Linked DNA regions of Alligator mississippiensis. The protein of the gene in region 2 binds, or shares a complex with, the protein of the main gene of each other region. Links are inferred from orthologs where the notes say so. Each region holds a gene or a part of one and is shown on either strand. Other genes may lie near its edges. The genes, in order: HERPUD1, OS9 and FAM8A1.

Region 1 (6,830 bases), on a different chromosome or scaffold from region 2:
CTAACTTGTCAAGATGATTCCTATGAAGAAATCATCACACATTTAATTCTGAAGCCACAGGTTTGTGATCAGATCAGGTGACACAAAGCTAGCATTAGATCTGCTAGTGATTGGCTGTGTGGCTTTTGGCAAGTCAAAATTGACGCAAATGTCACCATCTTTAGCACTCTGTACTCAGTTTCAATTTCAGTACTCTACTGTTGTGAGAACTGCTCATAAACAGCTGAAGTGCTCAAGAGCCTCCCTCCCCACAATTCCCTTCAGGCTCTGCAGGTAAGCCTCACAGTTTATATAGCTTATTTGCAAGTTTTCAGTTAGCCCCCAACAGGTGGGGCTTATTTCCTCAGCAATAGACCAAGTCCGGTAAAAGTGGTAAAGATCTTTAGATGTACCCCTCCAATAGGCTCAACACCACTATAAATGGTTGCAAATTTTAACTTTTATTTAGACAAAAAGCAATAAGCATGACTAAACCAAATGGCATCTGGTGTTTATAGCTACATCAGACATTTGATTTGCCACAGATAAGGAAGATGCCTGTCAACTGGGGGAGAAACAGCACTAGTATCTTTCTAACCAACTGGTTCTCAACCTTTAGATTTAAAGACCCCTCTCAGAAGTGCCAGCTTACATTTTCACTTGTTTTTTGCCAACAGAACAATTCCCACATTACACAAAACTAAGAAAGATCACTACAGGGCAAAACGTGTTTGACATGAAGGATTTTTATTTGAAGTCTGTGGGTATATCATGTGAAACATGTTTGTACACTTAACTGCAGCACTCTTGAAAAGACAGACATACCAGAGTGCCCCAGCCCTGTGGCTGAAAATTACTATTCTAACCAGTTTTTAATATTTCAAAGCTAGTTCTGCAAAAGGAAAGAAAACTTACTATTGCATGTAGTACTGTCTTGCATAAATCTGCTGAAACCAAGAAATCTGAAGCATGCTGTAAGTAGTATAGGCAGAGAAGCCACGAGCTGTTTCAATCCTTATTCAAAAAGTTTAATAAAAAATTAGTTAAAAAACAAAACAAAACACCAAACAAACAACCCAGGACTGTCTTTCCCACCACTTCTACTTACAATACTGAAGATACATGCAAGCTGCTTTTGCCATTGTCTTGCTGATAGGTAAAGCAGCATATGGCACACACTTCCAATATGTTTTAAATTAATCTGGGCTTAAAAGACTGTACTTAACATTAAAAAGCTGAAGGCAGAAATCTAAAATTTCAGCCCTAAACTGTACTATTGCGAAATTAAAAGGAGAAAGTGGGGGGGGGGGGGAAAGAGACTTCTAAAAAGGAAAAGTACCACCTTTTTGATGACATTATTAGATATTAAGCTATTTTTCCCACTCAAGCTCTTTTTAAATGAAATGGGAATATGTAAGGACTAGAAGAAAAAAGCAAGCGCTCAATCTAAACTTCAGAGGCTCAGTCAAGTACTGGAGTGCAGTGGATACCAGGTTTATGCTTCTGTGAAAACATTATAAAAAGCATTTCTATTTTTCCATATCTAACAAGAAAGGACAGTAACATCCAACTCAAGAGGGAACAATGTTTTAACCTCTTTGGCACCCACCCACTTAAAAGTTCCAAAGCAGTAGCTTAAGGTGCTGACATCCAAGAGTCTGTTCAGAAACAGACGTATAACTTTATATCTCAGCATTTTAGAAGGCATGTCTTCATATGAAGCACATTTACCTTGTATTGGTTTCCACTGTAGGTTGGTTGCAGGGAGCATCCCTGTGTCTTGCCCCATCAGTTGAAGCTACAGAAGGATCTTGACCAATTTCTGACAATGCTTTTGGCTGTTTAGTTTCAATGTAAAGCAACAGTTAGTAGTGGTTGGCTCAAGACAATGAATGAAAATTATCTTACCTTTGAATCAGATATTTTATCTTAAAATAACACATTCCCCAAAATATTTCACTGGAACTGTGCGCGCATGTGCCTTGCAGAGAGCGCCAGTCCTGAACAGGGCCTTTGGAAGCTACTGCCATATCAATTATGAACCACAATCAAAACAAACAATATTTCTAGAATTGTTTTGTTCCTAAAACACCTTGAGAGGTGGCCTGCATATGGAACAATGGCAATAGTGTCATTTGTTTTGAGAAAGTGAACTCTTTAAATATGTAGGAGCTTAAGGCCATAGTGCAGAAAACGGAGTAAAAAGCACTCATAATAGCAGCAGTTCCACCATTCTGGGAAACCAAACTTTTTATTTTTTTTTTTAAACACATGACATGTTTTAAGTCCTGTTCCAACAGGAAGCGATGAAGAACTACAGCTCCTCTCAGTAGATGTTGCAAAGTTACATTATGGTATAAAATCTTTGTGCTTGTATATATTTGGAAGTTTTACTGCTTTAACTATACTGGTTAAAGCAATATGCTAGTGGTTACATATACTAGCATAATTAAAGCAATAACCTGTCTAGTACAGGCAGAGCCACAGCAGTATGAAGGCTTTATAATACTATAGTTTAGGTCACTACATGTAAAGTGTAACAGCCTCTAAAGCATATGATGAACAGATTTAGCCAACGAATGCTAACTGTAAGTAAAAGCAGAAAGATCACAAGATCAGTTTTTACAAAGCCTTCCCCGATCACATTTAAAAACAAAAAATAATTGCTTGTCTTAATTTTAAAAGGTTCAATTTTTTAAAGTGTGTATCAATTTGCCATTTGATAAATGCTGTCTCAAATACTAGACAGAGGCTACCAGCATGGGGTGATGGCGATGCAAGTTGCCTTGAAGTGCTAGGACAATACATGTTTATCAAATACAAAGCCACATCTTTTTCAGTTGTTTTCTGCCACAGATGACACAAAAACAAAAACAGTCTATTGTTTGCTCATGACTTCAAGGATGTAATTTTTTTGCCTTTGAGATTATAAATCGCTAGTGTTAATCACACCAGCAAACCCTCATACAGAAACTGAGATCTGTGTCATAGTTTAAGCACACTTAAAAAAAAAAAAAGTGTATTAAGTTTGGTTTATTTCCAGTTTCTTCCTCCAGAGGCTTTTTAAGTTTTATTACTGATGAATATTTGGGCAACAATCCAGGAAGAGCCTAAAAGATGCCACCCCATTTAATTGTTGACAGATTCTCTTTCTTTATACGAATGAGACTTGATTATCATGGAAAACATACACATTCAAGACAACCGCTCCCTTTGCAAACAGCACAGCCCTCATGACCAAGCTCACTGGCTCAACCAGGGAAAGAGGAACTACAACAGTTGTACGGTACTAAATGTCTTTCCTCGTCAGTAGGTCAAGTATTACCCTGACCACCAGGTCAAGACAGACCACTAACCAGGCTGGACACAACATGCAATGGCCGTAACCTGGTTCAAGATGTTTCAGCTCCAAAACAAGCCATTACAAATGCTTACTCCAAATATGTAGCTGTTGTCTCACCCCTAGTACTAGCATAACAGCTACCCTATGAAGCAATGCTGCCCCTGCATTTACATGACGTGGGTCAACCTTTTTTCAGAAATAATTCTGCTTTGAAGTCATAAATCCCAAATTTGCAGAGTGTGTCCACACCCAGAAAAGCAAAAGTAGACTGATGTATTAATTTAACATACCATTGAACTGGTTTCTTGCACTTCTAAATGGCTCTTAGAGTTGTACACCAGGTGAAGAACACACAACTTCTCCTGCTAAAAACAGAAATCAAGGCATTAAAACGATAACATATTCCTATGTCATTTAATTTGTGCAACTATCAGAAGCAAGCAATTGCCATACCATAGGCAATACATCTCTCAGATAAAGATGATCAGGCAGCAACTTCCCCAAATAAATCAACTTCTGGTCCTCTTCAGGCTTTGAAAGAAGACAAAAAATATGTTGGGTTACTATTCTCTCAAATGCATGCAAATGCTGAGCAGCCAGGCATGACAGCAGCTGGCATACCAAAAAAGAAACAACAAAAAACACACCCAGCATAAATACATCCAAATCCTTTGAACACAATTCTCTTTTGTTTTTAGCATGGGATGATGCAACCAAACCCGCTGATTATTTATGTGCAAAATTGATGTCAGAGATTCAGAAACTCGCACAGAAACATAGCAACTCCTACAAAACAGGAATGAGTTGTCCGTCCATCGGGTGGGCCAGAAACCTGACAGGAGGACTTTCTCTTCCGTCTGAGGAGCAGAGGGATCCCGTGTGCCCGCAGCTTTCCCAGCCGCAGCAAAGGGATTCGCACCTTGTCTTCTGCCCGCCCCTTTCCCAGAAGCCCAGCACGGACGCACAGGCTTCAACGCCCAAAGTCCTCCCCTGCTGAGCACCGACACCCCTCGGCCACACGGACGAGCCGGCGCCCCGCCACGCCCGGCTCAAACCTCCACAAACCCCAGGAAAACCCGCTGCAGCACTTCAAGTAACCGGGGCCGCCCGGCCCCGGCCCCGGCCCCGGCCCCTCCCTCCCTCACCGGCGCCTCGGGAAGCAGGCGGCGCAGCCGGGCCTTGAGCTGCCGCACGGTGCCGGCGGGCTCGGCGCGCAGGCTCAGGTCCGGGTGCCGCCCCGCGGGGCTCCGCACCAGCAACGACGCAGGTTCCTCCATGGCCGCTCTCCGCCTCGCGCCCGCGCTCCCCGTGGCGCCGCCTTTTATCTCCTCGCCGCCTCGCGCCCCGCCCCCTGCGCCAGCCGGGACGCGGTGGCTGCCACTGATTGGCCGCGGAAAGAGAGCGTGTCACTAGATGGCCTATCAGAAGCGACATCCGGCTACAGAGTGACAGGGGCGGGGCTGACCCGTGTCAGGAGGCAGGAGGTGGCGGGGCGGGAGCGGGGGGTGCTGTGCGGGGTGTCCCGGGCTGGGGCAGCGCCGTGCCGCTCCTAGCTTGTTTCCTCAGGAGCAGGCACGGGATCGGGCGGCTGCAAAGTGTGGGGTTTCCTGCTTCGCAGCCCCCGGCAGCTGAGAGGGAAATGCTTTGGAGCAGTGGGTCTAAGCACAAAAGGGCCTGATCGCTCAGCCCCTGGCTCTGTGACACTGAATTATAAGACTATAGTAATACAATTAGAAGTCAAATAGCTGGGAGAAAAGAATTGGGTTCTAAGTAAATTATTTCTCTACTAATGATCTAATTGAGTATGGCCGTAGCACCACGATATGTGTCCCGTTGGAATACGTATTGTGTGAACATAAAGAGACCACCCTTGTTCAAAGATGGTAGGCTAAGACAAGAGACAATGGGAAAACGAATAAATAGTTGCAAAGGGAATCCTGAAAATTCAGAGGCAAAGATTAGCTGTCTCCAATATGCTCTGACCCTGAAAAATAGCTGAACAAGGCTCTGACTGCTTCCAGGTTGGATATATTACAAGTTGAGAAAAATCGCCCCTCCAAAGAACAGATCAGATCGGATCTGTACATCAGTGTGAGACACCCCCCCCACCCATTAATAAGCTTTCTTATATTAGGAATATGGAAACACTTTCTGAAATTGTATTGAAACTCTTATATTGTTAAATCAAAGACAACAGGTGATATTCCATTTCAGAACTGTTTCCTGTTTAAGGCACAGTTAATTTTTATATCTGTTCTTACAGACAGTGTTTGGTGATAACAGAATGTTATAAGTCTTGAGTTAGCCTTTAACACTAAATACTAATTATTCAGCTTCCGTGGACCTGTAGTAAATGCAAGATATTCCTTTTAGAAAAAGAAGTATCCCAATTGCTATGGAGTAGAAATCTTGAGCTTTTACTGGAGCCCTGTGTAGCAATACAGCAGCCCTTCATAGCAAGCAAACAATCAGTTGTCAGTTCATATTTCTTTTTATTCATCTGTAACTTTAAACAGAATAAATCACATTTTCAGAAGTGTCTGTAGCCTGAGTTACACTTTCAAAAATGCTGTAGGCACTTAAGTGCTTAATTCTCAATGTCTTTCAGTGAAATTTAGGCTCTTTCTTCTCTTAAAAATATAACTGCAGGGCTGTTGAAAATTTTACCCAAGTTTACAAACAGAAAAGAACATACTGTCAATGATAAAGAAAGCAAAGAATGGATCATACTGGCAGGAGGCATTCCTACCAATAAAAAAATCAAGAAAGCATCCTTGGTGTGAATCTACTGAGCACAGAGTCATTCTTATTCCTTATCCTTGTTCAGTTTTCTCATGCAGGAGCATATCCATATTAATCAGATGTAAATTATCCATGTTCCTGAGTTCCATCCTTTATATTTTTATCCTGGAACCAGGCAATTCAGTATAGAAAGCATCAGAACACAATAGAATGGCTCAAAGCAGTTATAGACCATTCTCAAGGGAACATAGTTATAGGACTCTTATGCACAAATTAAATAGCCAGCTACCTACCCATCTCTCTAGGTGCTTGTGTTTTCATTGTATCTGAGCACTTTTGGCTGTTGGGCAGCTCCCACAGATATCAATAGAAGTGCTTAAGACCTGATCACCTGTATTCTGTTAGGTTTTCTCAACTGATCCACATGTGTATTAGAAGCTGCTTTTGTTTTGAACAGGCTAGTTCATGAAGGCAATGCTATTGGCCTCAATGACAGGGATCACCTATGCTGTGTAGCTATTTGCTTCTTCAGAGGTTGGTCAGAAAGGGAATTCTCTTCTGATTTTCCACAGCACTAGGAATTAAAACTGGGAGTGCAACAATTAATTAGCATTAAGTTTAGAACCCAGGACTGCCTTGAGGTCCCCTGGAAACAGAGGTTCAGTTGCTAATGGCTCTCCTCTAACAGGCCCTGGATATAACCACAGTCACAGTTACTTAACTCCTTTCTTATTTTTGAGGTGAAGAGCATTCATTTCTAAAAAAA
Region 2 (6,830 bases):
GTACGGGGGGATCTGCTATTGTCTGGCTCCAGTGCAAGGCCGGGGGGGGGGGGGCAGGTAGGACCCAATCCAGCCCCCCCAGTGCTGCCACCCCTCCCTGCCCCATGCCAGGCATGTGGGGGGGGGGCAATACCGCAGCCCCCCGGCGCGCTGCCCGCGCCCTACCTGTGCCCTGCGGAGGGGCTCGCCCGGGCTCGCTCACATCCTCCCGGCGGGGCCCGGCGCGGGCGGGATGCAGGATGCGGGATGCGGGAGGGATGCAGGATGCGCGGCCCCGGCCGGGGACCGGCGGCGCCCCTGGCGGCCCCCGGCGGGACTGACTGCGGGTCCCCGCCCCCCCCAGCCCCTGCCTGGCTCCGGGGGTCCGGGGGGGGGGGCTTCCTGGGCTCAGACAAAGGGATCCCCGCACAAAGGGAGGAGGAGGGGCTATTTTGGGACACCCCCCCTTTGCCCCCCTGCTTGGCAGTGCCCAGGATCGGGGCCCCCCAGGAGCTCCCAGAGGGTGGGGAGGGGGGAGTCCACCCCGGGGGGTGGGGGGGCTGGGGTATTATTAGGTGCATTGCCCCCAGCCAGGGGTGCAGCGCCAGGCCCTGCACAGACAATATCCCCTGGGCGGGTGCTGAGCTGGGAGTGGGACCAGGTGTCCCGAGGGTCTGCGTGGCCCCTCTCTGTAGCTGGAGGTGGGGGGAGATATTGTCAGGACCCCCAAGTAGGGGCTCGTGTCAGCTCCCAGCTGGGGAGGACACAGCGGGATGCAGGGATGTGTAATGCAGCTGTCCCAAGTGGGGAAACTGAGGCATGCAGCAGGATGGGTGCCTGGAGGAGCAGGGCAGGGCAAGGCCCAGGGCTGAGACCTCCTAGGCTCCTTGCCAGGGATGGGGCTGATTCCCCTGCCCCGGGGGCCTCCCCTGCTCGCTCCCCTCCATCCACTCCCAGAGGCCCTGATCCACCGCAGTCTCATAACTAGCTGGGATTGAGCCCGGGTGTTTAAGCCGGGCAGGGTGCCAGGCGGGGCTTGGCAGGCCGCGGGCAGGCAAGAGCCGCAGGGGAGCCCGGGCCTGGATGCAGATGTTCTCCCCAGATAACAATCCCCCTCGTTGTGTCCGTGCCGAGTGGCCCTGGGGCTGGGCACAAAGGGGTTCATTGTGCTCCCGGGGGTGGGTGGCTGCTCCCTGGGCTGGGCCCAGGCTGTGCGGCGGGTGTCTCTGGAGTGGAGAACACCCGGCTTTAACCCTCCATGTATCCTCCTAGCATTGAACCGGGGGCCAGGCTTTGCTAATGCGGCTAGCTCTGGGGTGGACCAGCGGGAAGGAATTTCCCTTCCTATTGCTGAATGAAGGAGAAAGGGGAGCTCCCCTGGGCCTGGCCCGTGAGCCTTGGGGTACCCAGCTCAGCCACAGCTTTGGTGCCCAGCTGGTGCCCACAAATCTGGGGCCTGGGAAGCAGCAGGTGAGGGCATCACCCGGGCCCTGACCCTAACCGCATCTTCTATTCATTACATAGAAAAAAGCTTTTAATTTGCTGCTCCTAATGGATGGCTCTGACAGGAGCAGGGTTAGCTCCAGTTACCAGGCCGGCAGTGCGGAGCTGCTACATCCCTGAAGCCGGGTGGCCAGGCCAGGAGTGAGCACGTGGCCTCGGGCACTCTGGGATCCGCAGTGACCCCATGCCCAGGGCAAGGGGGTGGCGCTGGGTGTGGGTGGGGGGTTCCCCCCACGACCCGGAGGCCGATCCCAGGTGAGATGGGCCCTGGCCGGCCTTCGCCCTTCCTCTGGGTACAGCGGGCTGGGGCCATGGTGAGGTGTGCTCAGCAGGCCGTGTTTCCTCCCTGGTCTGGCTGCTTCTTTTTTTGGCATGCGAGCAAGCATGCAGTTGTGGAGGAAGTAACCAGCTGCCTCGCCTGGCCTCTGCCCAGCCTGTCCCAGGGTTGCTGCCCCCAGCGCCACCACCCCGGAGCAGGATCCCACCTCTGGGTCAGGTCAGAGGGCATTGGGGGGCCCAGAGACCCCCTCCCCATCTCAGCTGGTGGGCCACCCGCCCTAGGCTGGATTCAGGCCTGCCATCACCCCCCTACCCCAGGGCTGCTGCCCTAGCACCACTGCCCCGGAGCAGGATCCCACCCCTGAGTCAGGTCAGAGGGCATTGGGGGACCCAGAGACCCCCTCTCCATCTCAGCTGGTGGCCCCCCAGCCCCAGCCCCAGGCTGAATGCAAGCCGGCCATCGCCCTCTGCCCCAGGGCCCCGCCCACGTGCCTCGTCCCAGCCCTTGAGCACGGTGACAGCTCCTTTGGGTCATGTGATCTCGTTCAACCAATCCCCTCCTTCCCGCGGCCGCAGAGCGGCCGCCAGGGACTCGGCTCCCTGATGCCGCTGGCCCTTTAAAAGCGCTCAGAATCACGCCACTAGCTCCTCCTTGCCGCTGCGAGGGTAGACGCGGACCAATCCCAGCCTCCCGGGTGACAGTCCCTGTCCGGCCTCACGCGCTCTTAGCTGGCGGCCAATGAAAAAGCGGCAGCGGTGATTGGCAGGGAGAGAGACCCAATCGCACGGCGCTCCGCGGCGGCGCGGGAGAGGCGGCGCGAGGCCCTGCGGGGACGGGCGGAAGCAGCGGCGGCGGCGGGTAGGAGGGAGGGAGCAAGATGGCGGCGCGGTGGGTGCTGCTCCCGGCGTTGGCCTTGGCGCTGCTGGGCCCGGGCCGCGCCGGGGCCGCGCTCAACCTGCAGGAGCTCAGCGACCTCAAGTACGGCATCGAGATCGCGGCCGAGCCCGTGCTGGCCGGGCAGGTGGGACCAAGGGGCCGGGCTAGGGTTGTGGGGGAGGTGGGCGCCCCCCCCGGGACACGCCCCCCCCCCCCGTGTCAGACTGCCCGAGGGCCCCCCCCCCCGCTGTGCTCGGCGCTGGTGAGGCCGCAGCGGGAGGGCAGCGTCCAATTCTGGGCGCCGCGCTTCAACGTGGGCAAACCGGAGCGGGTGCAGAGAAGAGCCACCCGCCTGGTCGGGGACGCGCCAGGAGAGGCTGAGGGACCCGGGCGTCTGTAGCCCGAAGAAGAGACGGCCGAGGGGACCTGATAGCGGCTTGCCGCTCTCCGGGAGGAGGAGTGCGTGGGGAGCTGGGTGAACAGCTGTGCGCTAGGGCAGCGCGGGGAAGGGCAGGACCACTGGATACAAATTCCCGGCAGACCGCTTCAGGCTTAATTCCAGGGAAAACTTCACGGTCAGGGAGTCCCGACTGAGGAATAAGCTTCCTCCAGAGGTGATGCAGTCGCCTACCCTGGAGGCTTTCAAGAGGAGACTGGACCTGGTTGCGGTCTATCTAACTTCAGTCGTCTTCCTGCCTAGAGCGGGGGGGGGGGGGCTGGACCCGATGACCTGCTAGGTCCCTTCCAGCCCCTACCGTCTATGAAACCCTGGCACTCCCTGAGGGGGCTTCATCCTGACCTGGTCCCAGCACCTCCCATCACCCCGTCTCCCCTGTGCCCTGGGGTGGGGGCACCCATCACTAGCTGCTTCCCGAGCCCACCCTAGGTCTCACTAACCCCCCCACCTCGTGCCTCTGTTTCCCCACGTGCCGTGCCCCCTGTCCCTTACCTCCTGTTTGGCTGTGGCAGGGCAGGGCGCAAACCCCCAGCTGGGCTGGGCACCAACAGCGACTGTTGCTGGCGGCTCTGGCTGCCTGGGTCCGGATGGGGAAGCGCAGGGTAGAGAAGGTGAACTGTGCCTGGGTTTGGAGATAACGGTATCTTGCTGGCCCCTGCTTCCTCCTTCCTAAAGTCATCTGATCGCGGTGCTCTGTAGGCAAATCTTTCTAGAAAGCAGAAGCAAGACTTTTGAGGTTGCCGCGTCAGGTTTGGTGGCCGGCCTGTGCTCTGCCCCTGGAGCTTCACCCCAGAAGTGGCTGCACTTCTGGGCCGGGTTGTACAAGAGGGATGGGGGCAGCAGCATGGGAAGCCAGGGTTGCTGCATGAGGCTACGAGCAAACTGCTGATGAGGGTCATGGGTCAGATGGGCCAGGGAGGAGCCAATGGTGCCCTTTGCCCTGGTCCTGGTGCCGGTGGCTGGACACAGAGCCCAGGAGAACCCTGATGGCCCTGTATCCCACTCCCCCAGAGCCGGGCCGAGGACGTGGTGACCATCTCCTCCAAGTACAAGCAGAAGTACGAATGCCGCCTGCCGCCGGCTGCCATCAAGATCCACCGGGAGCCTGAAGATGACCCCCGGGGTTACAGCGGGCTGGGCATCATGGAGCTGCTGCGGCCCATGGGTGCTGCGCCCTGTCTCCGTAAGGTAAGGCACCTGCCTGCACCGGAGGCTGGACGTGGGATGGGAGGTGCCCACCACAAAGCCTGCTGGGGAGCGGGTGGGGGTCGCCCCCCCCCCCCTTTGCGCCCACTGGTTCGAGGCTCAGGCAGGCCGTGGCAGGCTCAGAGAGGGGGGTGGGTGATGTGTGACTGGAGGGGGCCCGGAGTCACACGTGTTACCCACCTTCCCTCCCCCAGACCAAGGACTGGTGGACATATGAGTTCTGCTACGGGAGGCACATCCAGCAGTACCACATTGAAGGTACCACGGGCCGGCCACACTCCTGCTAGGGTTATGTTGCCGGCCCAGCAACATGTATGTGCATACATGCGTGTGTCCCTGCCCTGTGTGGCCAGTTTCCACCCCTACACGCACTTTATTTAATGTTCCCCTTCCCTTGCCCAGATGGGATGAGGGATCCCCGAGTGTCATAACAGAGCTGAGCCTGGCTTGCCAATACCCGTGTCCCTGCATGCACGTGCATGCTGGTGCTGCACGCACGCAGGTGTGCGGGCTGTAACTGTTTGCCCTTGGCTCTGTAGAGTCGGAGATCAAGGGGGATGTCCTGTACCTGGGCTACTATCAATCTGCCTTTGACTGGGACAATGAGACTGCCAAGGTGCGGGGCATAGGGGGTTATGGGGGGGTGGGCTTCTGTGGGATGAGGGGAAGGCATCAGCAGGGGCTGGGCTCTTTGGGGCAAAGTGGGGGCTGGGGTCTCCTGTGGGCTTGGGGGGACTGGACAGGCTGGCTCGTGAGTGGCGGCAGGGCCTGGCTTTCTGGCAGCAGAACCTATGTACTTTCTATGGTTCTTCCGTGACCTGTGTGCCTCAGTTTCTCCACCTGAAGCAGGAAGTGACTTGTGGTTTCCCACCCCCAGGCCTCGAAGCAGCACCGTCTCAAGCGCTATCATAGCCAGACCTACGTCAACGGCTCCAAGTGTGACCTCAATGGTCGCGCCAGAGAGGCTGAGGTCCGGGTAAGGTGGGGAACAGCTGTGGGGGGTAGGGTCTGGCTTTTCACTGCCTGGCTGGTTGGCAGCGTCCTCCCCCAGTGCTGCTTTCCTGGCCTCTGGGGTGGGCATAGGGGTGGTGATTGGGTGGGGGGTGCTAATTAGCTGCCAGGAGTCATTACACCCTGCGAGGTGGGGGTATCTGGCTAGAAAAGGGCTCAGGGAGGCTCTGGCTGGGAAGGGGCTTGTGGGGGGCCTCTGGCTGGAGGGGAGGGGAGGGGTGGGCCAGGGAGCTCTGGGCAGGGGTTATCATTGGGGGTGAGGGGCTCTGGCTAGAGGAGGCATTGGGGGGGGGGGGGGGGCTGGGTGCTTTGTTGGGGGGGGTCCTGGGGGGTAGGGGGATCTGGCCACACTAATGTCCCCTGCACCTCCCCCCCAGTTCCTGTGCGAGGAGGGCTCGGGTGACTACATCGCGCGGGTGGATGAGCCACAGTCGTGCTCCTATGTGCTGACAGTGCACACGACCCGCATCTGCCACCACCCCTTCCTACGCCCACCCGCAGCTGCCACACCCCAGCCCATCCGCTGCCAGCCTGCGCTAAGCCCTGCCCAGTACCTCCAGTATGTCCAGGCCCAAGTCTGTGAGTATCCGGACTGGGGGAGGGGGGCAATACGGATGGCAGGGCCTGGTTGCCCCCCCACCCATGTGTGATCTCTGCCCTCGGCCTCCCTCAGCTGACACTAAGCGCAAGGTGGAGGAGATCTCGGAGGAGCTACGGACGCTGGACACACGGCTCTGGAGTGAGCAGGACCCCAGCCCGGCCAAGCCCCCACCCAGGGAAGACCCTTCCCTCGATGGTACGGCAGTCGGACTCCTGGGTTCCTCAGCTGTGTGGGATGGGGAAGAGCCTTGGCTTGTGTAGGCCACTTGGAGAGCATCCTTGGGTTGCAAATGGGGCGCTGCCCCTTTAAGGACACCCACACCCACCTGGAGGCACTCACTATGGTGGGGGGGCGGGGCAGGTTCTCTCCCTGAGTGGGGGTGGGAGGCTTGGCTGGAGGTGCCAGGTAGGGATGGGGCTGCAGCTGCGGGCACGGCCCCCCTACTCCCAGCGCCACGCTCAGCACTGCTCTGTCTGGTTCCAGGTGAGCCCTCTGCTCCCAGCCCGGCAGAGAATGCTGGCCCCCGAGACCCCCCACCCACAGCAGATGACCCGTTGGACCCCACCAAGGTACATGGGCCATGGGTGCTGTGCCTTGCCCATCCTCTGGGTGCCCTTGACTCCTGTCCTGGCTCCTGCTTCCTTCCTGGCAGGGCCAGCAGGGGGCACTGTGTGTCTGTGTCCAGCCAGGTATGGGGGGGGCAAAGCCCTGGCTGGGCAGCATGGGGTTAAGCAGCCTTGGCTGCAAAGGTGTTGGTGGCATGTGACCCCAGCCGTGCCCCCACCATGTTGTGTTGTTTTGGCTCCCACACAGGAGGAGGAACCCACAGTAAAGGCGCCTGATGGCCCCCTGGCAGGTGAGTGCCTCCGCGTAGGTGTGGGGGGCACGGGGCAAGGGCTTGTGCCATGGCCTCATCC
Region 3 (6,830 bases), on a different chromosome or scaffold from region 2:
GGACCTTAGGGATGCTGCCCCTCTCCTGCCCTGCCACCTCGGCGCACAAGGATCCCAGGGAGGAGGCGTCTTGCCAACCTCGAATGTCTGCGTCAGACTTCACTGACACATGGGACCCAGCGCTGGACTGCTCCTGGGCGCCGGGTCCCCGGGACACCTCACCTGACTCAGTGGCAATGTGTAGGGGGTCTGTTTGCACCGGTGCAGACCCTGGATGGCTGCGCTCACTGCTTAAGTGATGGGCAGGGGGGCAGGCAGGAGTGACAGTGCCCCCCCTGCACACGGTGACCGATCACTGCAGCTGCTCCCAGAAGTGGCTGCAGCGATCGGCCACGGGGGATTTCCCTCCGGGCAGCGATATTGGCTGCAGGGGGGACCCCCACACCCTGTGCTGCGAGACTGGTTGCAGGGGGGCACGTGTCCCCCCGACTAAGACAGCACCAGTTCCCCATGACCTGACTTGATGACATTTCCACCAACTTCACAGTCTCATGGGGCCTTGGGGTTTACTGGGACCTCATCTTGCAGTTTTTACTCAGCAAAACACCCCTTACATCACAGTTTAAGAAAGGCCTGGACAACTGGCTGGTCCCTTTTCCTACTCCTTTTTTTAGTTGCTTTTAAAGCCAGGCAAGAGGATCACCAAGCCATGCTCAGCCTAGGTGGCCCCCGCAGAAAGTCTGTTTCCATTTCCTTGGTCTGCAGGAACCAGGACCGGAGCTTTCCAGGCCTGTTTAAAAAAAAACAGGACAGCCAAGTGTGTGCACCAGGCGAGGAGAACACCTTAAGCGACAGGGGTCACAGCTCCAAATGATGGAGGTTGTCGTAGAAAATCCTCCTCCTCTTTCCTCCACGTTTTCACAACCTCAGCCTCGCCCCTGAGCATGTAGCCTATTTCCATCACTTGACACACAGGCGTACTGCTTACATGAGATCCTTCCTCACCTCACTTCAGGATTCATTTCCCTGTTTAAATCAGGCTCAGGGTGCTTGAGTTTTTCATGCAAACTTGTGAGACTTCATGGCACTTTTGGTTCCTCATAGTGATTGCCTGACAGCAGCTGGAGAAGGACAACAAAGCCAGTCCAGAGGAGGATTTGTCCTAGAGATCACTCAGCTGAGGGGGAGCAGGTAAGGCTTGGGTAAATGGACAAACCACCCTGAACCTCACATCCTTGTGGAGGTGGCAAGGAAGCGAGGGTCTCTTCTGATTTCAGGCCCAGGTCCTGCAGGTCAGAAACAGGTAAAGACTAATTCTGCATCCACAGAAGACCTGCCTTGAGAGTAACCTTTCCTACCAGCTCCGCATGTAGCAGGAAGGAGCTGGGCATGGTCCAGAGGCAACACTCTGAATTGGACAGGATAAGAAATGTTTGTGTTTTAACCCTGTGTGTGTTTCGTATCTCTGATTCAGACCAGTTTTTCCTCAACTGTGAACCTGAAGCCACCAAATGGTTCCTGATGCAGGGTCTCCTTCAGAGCCAGGATGGATAAGGCATGGTGCACAGCCAGTGTCGATAGGAACACTGGATGTCATTAGAGTAAATGTAGCGTGAGATATATTGGTAATGCAGAGCTGGGGAATAGATCCTTTCCTGGGCATTGACAAGGATAAAGAGACCCCATAGGTAGGAGAAAGGCAGAGAACAGCAGAGAGGATCCAAACGTCAACCTCAAAGGAGCAGGAGTTCAATCTGGTTTGGAGTGAAGGGCCAACATGGGCAAGTCAGGGAGTGACAAGTCTCCTGTGACTGGGGAAGCACCGAGGGAAAAGGGCAGGAAGAAGAAGAAGTGCAAATTCTTGGAAGGGAAGGGGCTGTCTAAAGGGCTATGGTCAAACCACCCTAGTGATGTGATCCTGTAGTCCCTTTTCACCTAGCAGACCTCACCCACCGGCTACAGCTCCTTGGAAGCAGCGGAGGCTCCAGAGAAGAGCGTCAGGACCCCTCAGTGCCTGAGCCTCAAGTGGATCACAGCACACCCGGAGGGTCTGTGAGCATCTGCCCAGCAGCGCTCCATCCCCCAGGGCAAGTGAGTGGCCTTCAGCGTGCCCCTGCCAGCTTCACATATTTGCAAATTTGGCTGGAGAATCAAAACCTCCATGTAGTGACGCAGCCACTGGGGCTCTCCAAGGCCACCTGCAGGGTGTTTGGAAAGATCCCCAAGGGTGGACTCCCAACCCCTCCTCAGGCAGGAAGCCTGTGGGTAATGAAGCCATTACCACTGAGCATGGCCTTGTGGTACAACAGGATTACTCCAAGTATGGCACTGCGGGATTACCCCTTGGCCTGCTACGGTATTACCCGCCAGGGGAGACATGCAAATCAAACTCTGGGCAGACGAGCGCCACCTGAGGCAGCATGGGTTGCAAGCTGCCGCCCGCCCCTCCCCCGCCCATATTTGGTAACCCCGGGCCGGTTGCCATGACAGCAGCCCTGAAGCAAGGGCGTCACCGTGCCACGAACCGAGCTGCGCCACACCGATCGTCCTGGCAACGGAAGCCCCGCCCCCCGCGGCCTAGCTCCTCCCCGCCACTGCTTGTGCTCCATCCAGCCTCGGGCTGGCGTGACAGGACGATACCGTATCCGTGGGGGCGGGGGGCGATATCCTCTCGCGCTGGAGCGGTGTTGCCTCCCCCCGCACCTCCTCACTCAGTTGGTCGCTCCTGCTCTTACCCCCTCCCACCTGGCAGGTGGGTGAAGCGGAGCGAGGTTGTCGGCCTGCGCATGCGCAGTGGAGGAGGGGCGTGTGGAGGGAGCGGACGGGGGCCATGGCGGAGCCGGAGCCCGCGGCCATGGCCGCGGCAGGGGCTGAGGTGGAGGAGGAAGGGGGCGCGGGGAGCAGCCCGGGCACAGGCCCGCCGCCGCCCCCGAGCGCGGCGGAGTACGCGCGGCGCGTGCACCAGTGGCTGTGGGACTCGTACTGCGGCTACGTGAGCTGGCACAGCGGCCTGCCCGCCCTCATGGCCGCCGCCGCTGCCGCCGCGGGCACCGCGCCCTGCAGCGCGGGCCCCGCCGCAGCCGCCGCTGCCGCCGCCGCCTACTACAGCCCCTTCTACGTGCTGCCAGCGCCTGGCCCGGCCCGCCTCACCCCGCTGCCCCGGCCCGGCCCCGCCGCCCCGCCCCGCGCCAGCAGCGCCCCGCGCGATAGCGCCCGCCCGGCAGGTGAGCCGCGCCTCGGGTGGACGGGACCGCCCCTGCGCACTTCTGTCAGCCCCCAGCCTAGTAGATCACAATGAGGGGGCCCTTGGAGCAGGCCCCAGGGGGCAGAGCGCACCCCAGGAAGCTGAGCGGCCCAGAGCAGGGATTGTCTGCTCTGCCCCACGCTGCCCTGAGGTCCTTGCGGGGGTGCCGTGCGCTGTTAGCGCCATGCACGTGAGTCACAAGACGGACCTGGAGATTTCTGCCAGGCGTCCCTGGTGTCAGCACCATTTTGCTGCGCAGCACCGGAACGGCTCTAGTGCTTTTCTGTAGTCAAAAAATGGTGAGTTGGCATTTTTGAGGGGGCCCTGAATCTTTGCAGGGCTCCTTTGGGTCTTGAACAGGCAACACCCGCCGTTCTAGAGTGACCCCCATGCTGCAGATCAGTAATTTCTCTTTGGACCTGCATGGCAGGTCAAGGGGACAAAACCAGCGAAAATGAGTGAAATCTAATTGCTTCCAGATTTTACTTTTTCCCCCCAGTTGTGAGCTCTGAACAGATATGCGCTTGGTTTAAAAGGAATAAGGGAAGTCGTACTCTGAAGTTTAGATCACTTAAGAACAAATGCTGTTAATTGTCCCAGAATGTGGTATGAACAAGGTTTAGTAAAATCACTCTTGGACAGTCATGCACATCTTCAGATAATAGTAGATCAAGCCACTATGCCAAGGACACTAGGGAATTGACTGCCTGCTAATACGTTTCAGTGGAATGGGAATGTTTCTTTGCTCACCGAGGATAGCGATGGAAAACAGCTTTCCTGATGAGAGAAGAGCATTTCCACTGCAGTGTAGGCAGCTCTCCTCAAAGGAGAGTGTGTAGCACAATTAATTGTACAGTCCGGATGGGTGAATGTAGGAAATCAATAGCTTTGTGCAGTAGCTGTTTGGCATGGGATACAAGAAGATTGCACCCTGTAGTCAGCATAACTTTGGCTATCCAGCATGGACTCAGTTTTGCCAGCAAAGTGTTATCAGAACCCTTGGGTGTCAAATACACAGCCTGTAGGCTGGATCTGCCTGTGGAGCTATCATCTGACCCCTGGTGCTGCCTATGGGGCTTGGAGTGACCGACAGGCAGCGTGCAGAGCACACTGGGTGGCCTGTTCCAGCTCATATCCTGGAGCAGGTGCTGCGGGCAGCGCAGCACTGTGGGGTTCTGGGGCCACGTTGCATGCAGTCCCGTACCTGCTCAGCTCCAGGGCCATGCTGCACAGCTCCGGAGTTGCTGGAGCAGAGCCATGCTACACACAGGACCCACTCCAGATCCAGAATGCGGGGCTGGTCTGTGGGTTCTGCCTGGCCTGTGGACTGGCCCCATGGGGCCAGATTAGTGTCTACACCGGGTGTGTAAAACTCGAGTTAAGGCAGTAGCAGTCCCATGATAGAGTCTGCGCCATAGATGAATGAATCTTAGTGGTTTTAGAATTGGGCACAAGTTCTTTGGAGGCACTTGTCCACAACTTTTTTGAATGTGGAGGCATCCCCAGTTGAGAACCACTGAACTATTGCAATCTGTTTTGTATGGACAGTGCTTAGAAGAGGCATAGAGGGACCATGAAAAAACCTTCCTGCGTTGAAAGGGGGAGGTGGACATTGAAGAGTTAAAAGACACGCTGTGCAGTCTTTTATTTTTCTGAAAGCCACTATAGTGATCTTTGACCAATTAAAAAAAATCCTTATTAAATCTGAATTAATGTGTCTCTAAGCAATGCCTGTTTAGACGGTGAGCTAATTGTATCTGTTTAGAGTTTATGCAGTTATTTTAATGTTTCAGTGACAGATGGAGATTCATACAGAAGTCAGTTATGCTGCATGGCTCCTCCAGACTGAAAGTTGCTACCTCAGCAGTAAGAATACTCTGTGTACAGGCAGTCAGGGAAAGCCGCAGCACCTGCATTAGGGCTCTCTGATCAGCCTGAAGCATACAGGATAGCTGGCTTGTGCTACAGCGTGTCCTGGTGCAACTCTGCATGGCATCTCCTGGAAACAGAGGCATTTTGGGCAAGTGGAAGTGTCCTGCCTGTCTTTGTTTCTGGGAGGAGCATGCAGGGGGTAGACTGGGAAGGGCTGTAGCACAAACCAGCTCTCCTTCCCACTTTAGGCTGATCAGAGAGCCCCCCAATGCAGGCAGGATTGCTTGCAGGTGCTGCAGGTACTTGGAACACTGTCATGGCACCCCTTAGGGGGCCTTGGGCCACCTGAGTTGAGAACTACTGCCATAGACTAAGTTGAGACACTGATAAGTCTCAGGTGAATTCTCCCTGTCTCTTTGGGATGCATATCTTCCTCCTTATTTAGTTGTAAGTCTCTGTAGCATCAAATTTGAGTGTAATTTTATTGTGACTGTAGTCACAATAATACTTTAGTTTGTTTCGTACTGAATAAATAGCCTCACTTTGGAACTTTATGATTTGTAACTAGTGGCTATGCACAGCCAAGCTGGGATCAGAATACTTAGCTGGGTTGTTCCGGTTCTCTTCACCATTAGATAAACGATCTGTGATGGGAATTTTATTGACAGCTTTCCCATAAATGGGAATTGAATCCATTTTGATATTCTGCATTGCTATTGAAAATTTTAAGTGAGCTAGCAGAAAGATGCAAAGAAGGGGATATGTTAATAAGAAGGTGCCCTTATCCATTCACTCTCCTGTCACAAACTAGCCTTTTTAAAAGAAAGAGCAGACAAAAAAAGACTGAGCACCTTAGGCTTCAAGGAACTCCTTCAGCGCAGCACATATTTACAGCAGCGTTTGTGCAGCTTCAGTAGAAGCCTTGTGCAGCTTTCTTTCTGTAAATGAGGTTACCGTGGTGAAATGTTTTTGGGGGGTGGGGTGGTAGGTAAAGGATAGTAAATGCCATCCTTGGCTCCTTCAGAACAGATGGACACTCATGCATAAAACCATTGCAAGCATTGGATTGATAAAATATCTTGTCAGGTGTGTGTGTGTGTGTGTGTGTGTCCTTAAATAGAATTCAATTAGGAGGATGCTCATTAGTTTCAGGCAAGTTATTCTGTATATGCTACTGGCAAAATGCATACCTTCTAGGATTTTTCTAAGGGTGCACCAACAGAGATTTTTTGGGCTGATACCAATGACTGATTTTTAAGGAGCTGTATTAGCTGATACGATCCAATTGCTAATATGCGGCCTGGCAGCTTGGAGAGAAGCATCCAGCTGGTAAGTCTGTTGTTGGGGGGGGGGCAGATCGAGGCCCCCATGGTGAGGGAAGGAGTGGGGCTGGGGCTGGGGCTGTCCAGCTGGGGAGGAGGACATGATGAAGCCACAAGCAGCTTGTCTAGGGGGTGTGGAGAAGGGGGACGGCTCCCGCCACTGTGTGCACCCCAGGAGGGCATGGGGGGGCGTCCCTGGATCTATGCAGGGGGCAAGGGCAGGCTGCTGCTGTGGGCTGGGGCCAGGGTGGCACCAGGCTTTTCCCAGCAGGGGGTTGGGGTGGGCTGTGCTTTGGGGTAGGCAGTGGCAGTGCTGAGCAGGGCTATGGGGTGAGGGCTGCAGCCACCCCAGAATTTGCTGTAGTCCCTCTCTGTGCTGCCACCCGCCCCAAGAACAGCCTGGCCCAGGCCCCTCACTGGGAAGAGCCCAACCCCAGCCCGTTCGCCTCCGC

What was found.
Region 1: OS9 (region 2) and HERPUD1 share a complex: the UniProt entries of both Homo sapiens proteins name them as parts of the HRD1 complex. The link is inferred for Alligator mississippiensis from reciprocal best matches to the Homo sapiens genes OS9 and HERPUD1.
Region 3: OS9 (region 2) and FAM8A1 share a complex: the UniProt entries of both Homo sapiens proteins name them as parts of the HRD1 complex. The link is inferred for Alligator mississippiensis from reciprocal best matches to the Homo sapiens genes OS9 and FAM8A1.

The regions. Positions count from the first base shown.
Region 1 is NC_081833.1:36,702,257-36,709,086, reverse strand, and holds the start of HERPUD1 (homocysteine-responsive endoplasmic reticulum-resident ubiquitin-like domain member 1 protein), read right to left. Parts: upstream 4,628-6,830; 5' UTR 4,600-4,627; coding exon 4,468-4,599; intron 4,260-4,467; exon of another isoform or gene 4,024-4,259; coding exon of another isoform or gene 3,970-4,023; intron 3,854-3,969; coding exon 3,776-3,853; intron 3,688-3,775; coding exon 3,613-3,687; intron 1,818-3,612; coding exon 1,711-1,817; intron 994-1,710; coding exon 895-993; intron 1-894. UniProt on the Homo sapiens protein: Component of the endoplasmic reticulum quality control (ERQC) system also called ER-associated degradation (ERAD) involved in ubiquitin-dependent degradation of misfolded endoplasmic reticulum proteins.
Region 2 is NC_081838.1:7,432,190-7,439,019, forward strand, and holds the start of OS9 (protein OS-9), read left to right. Parts: upstream 1-2,602; 5' UTR 2,603-2,639; coding exon 2,640-2,783; intron 2,784-4,106; coding exon 4,107-4,283; intron 4,284-4,495; coding exon 4,496-4,559; intron 4,560-4,840; coding exon 4,841-4,917; intron 4,918-5,178; coding exon 5,179-5,277; intron 5,278-5,689; coding exon 5,690-5,891; intron 5,892-5,985; coding exon 5,986-6,108; intron 6,109-6,396; coding exon 6,397-6,482; intron 6,483-6,726; coding exon 6,727-6,769; intron 6,770-6,830. UniProt on the Homo sapiens protein: Lectin component of the HRD1 complex, which functions in endoplasmic reticulum (ER) quality control and ER-associated degradation (ERAD).
Region 3 is NC_081826.1:130,845,259-130,852,088, forward strand, and holds the start of FAM8A1 (protein FAM8A1), read left to right. Parts: upstream 1-2,755; 5' UTR 2,756-2,770; coding exon 2,771-3,164; intron 3,165-6,830. UniProt on the Homo sapiens protein: Plays a role in the assembly of the HRD1 complex, a complex involved in the ubiquitin-proteasome-dependent process of ER-associated degradation (ERAD).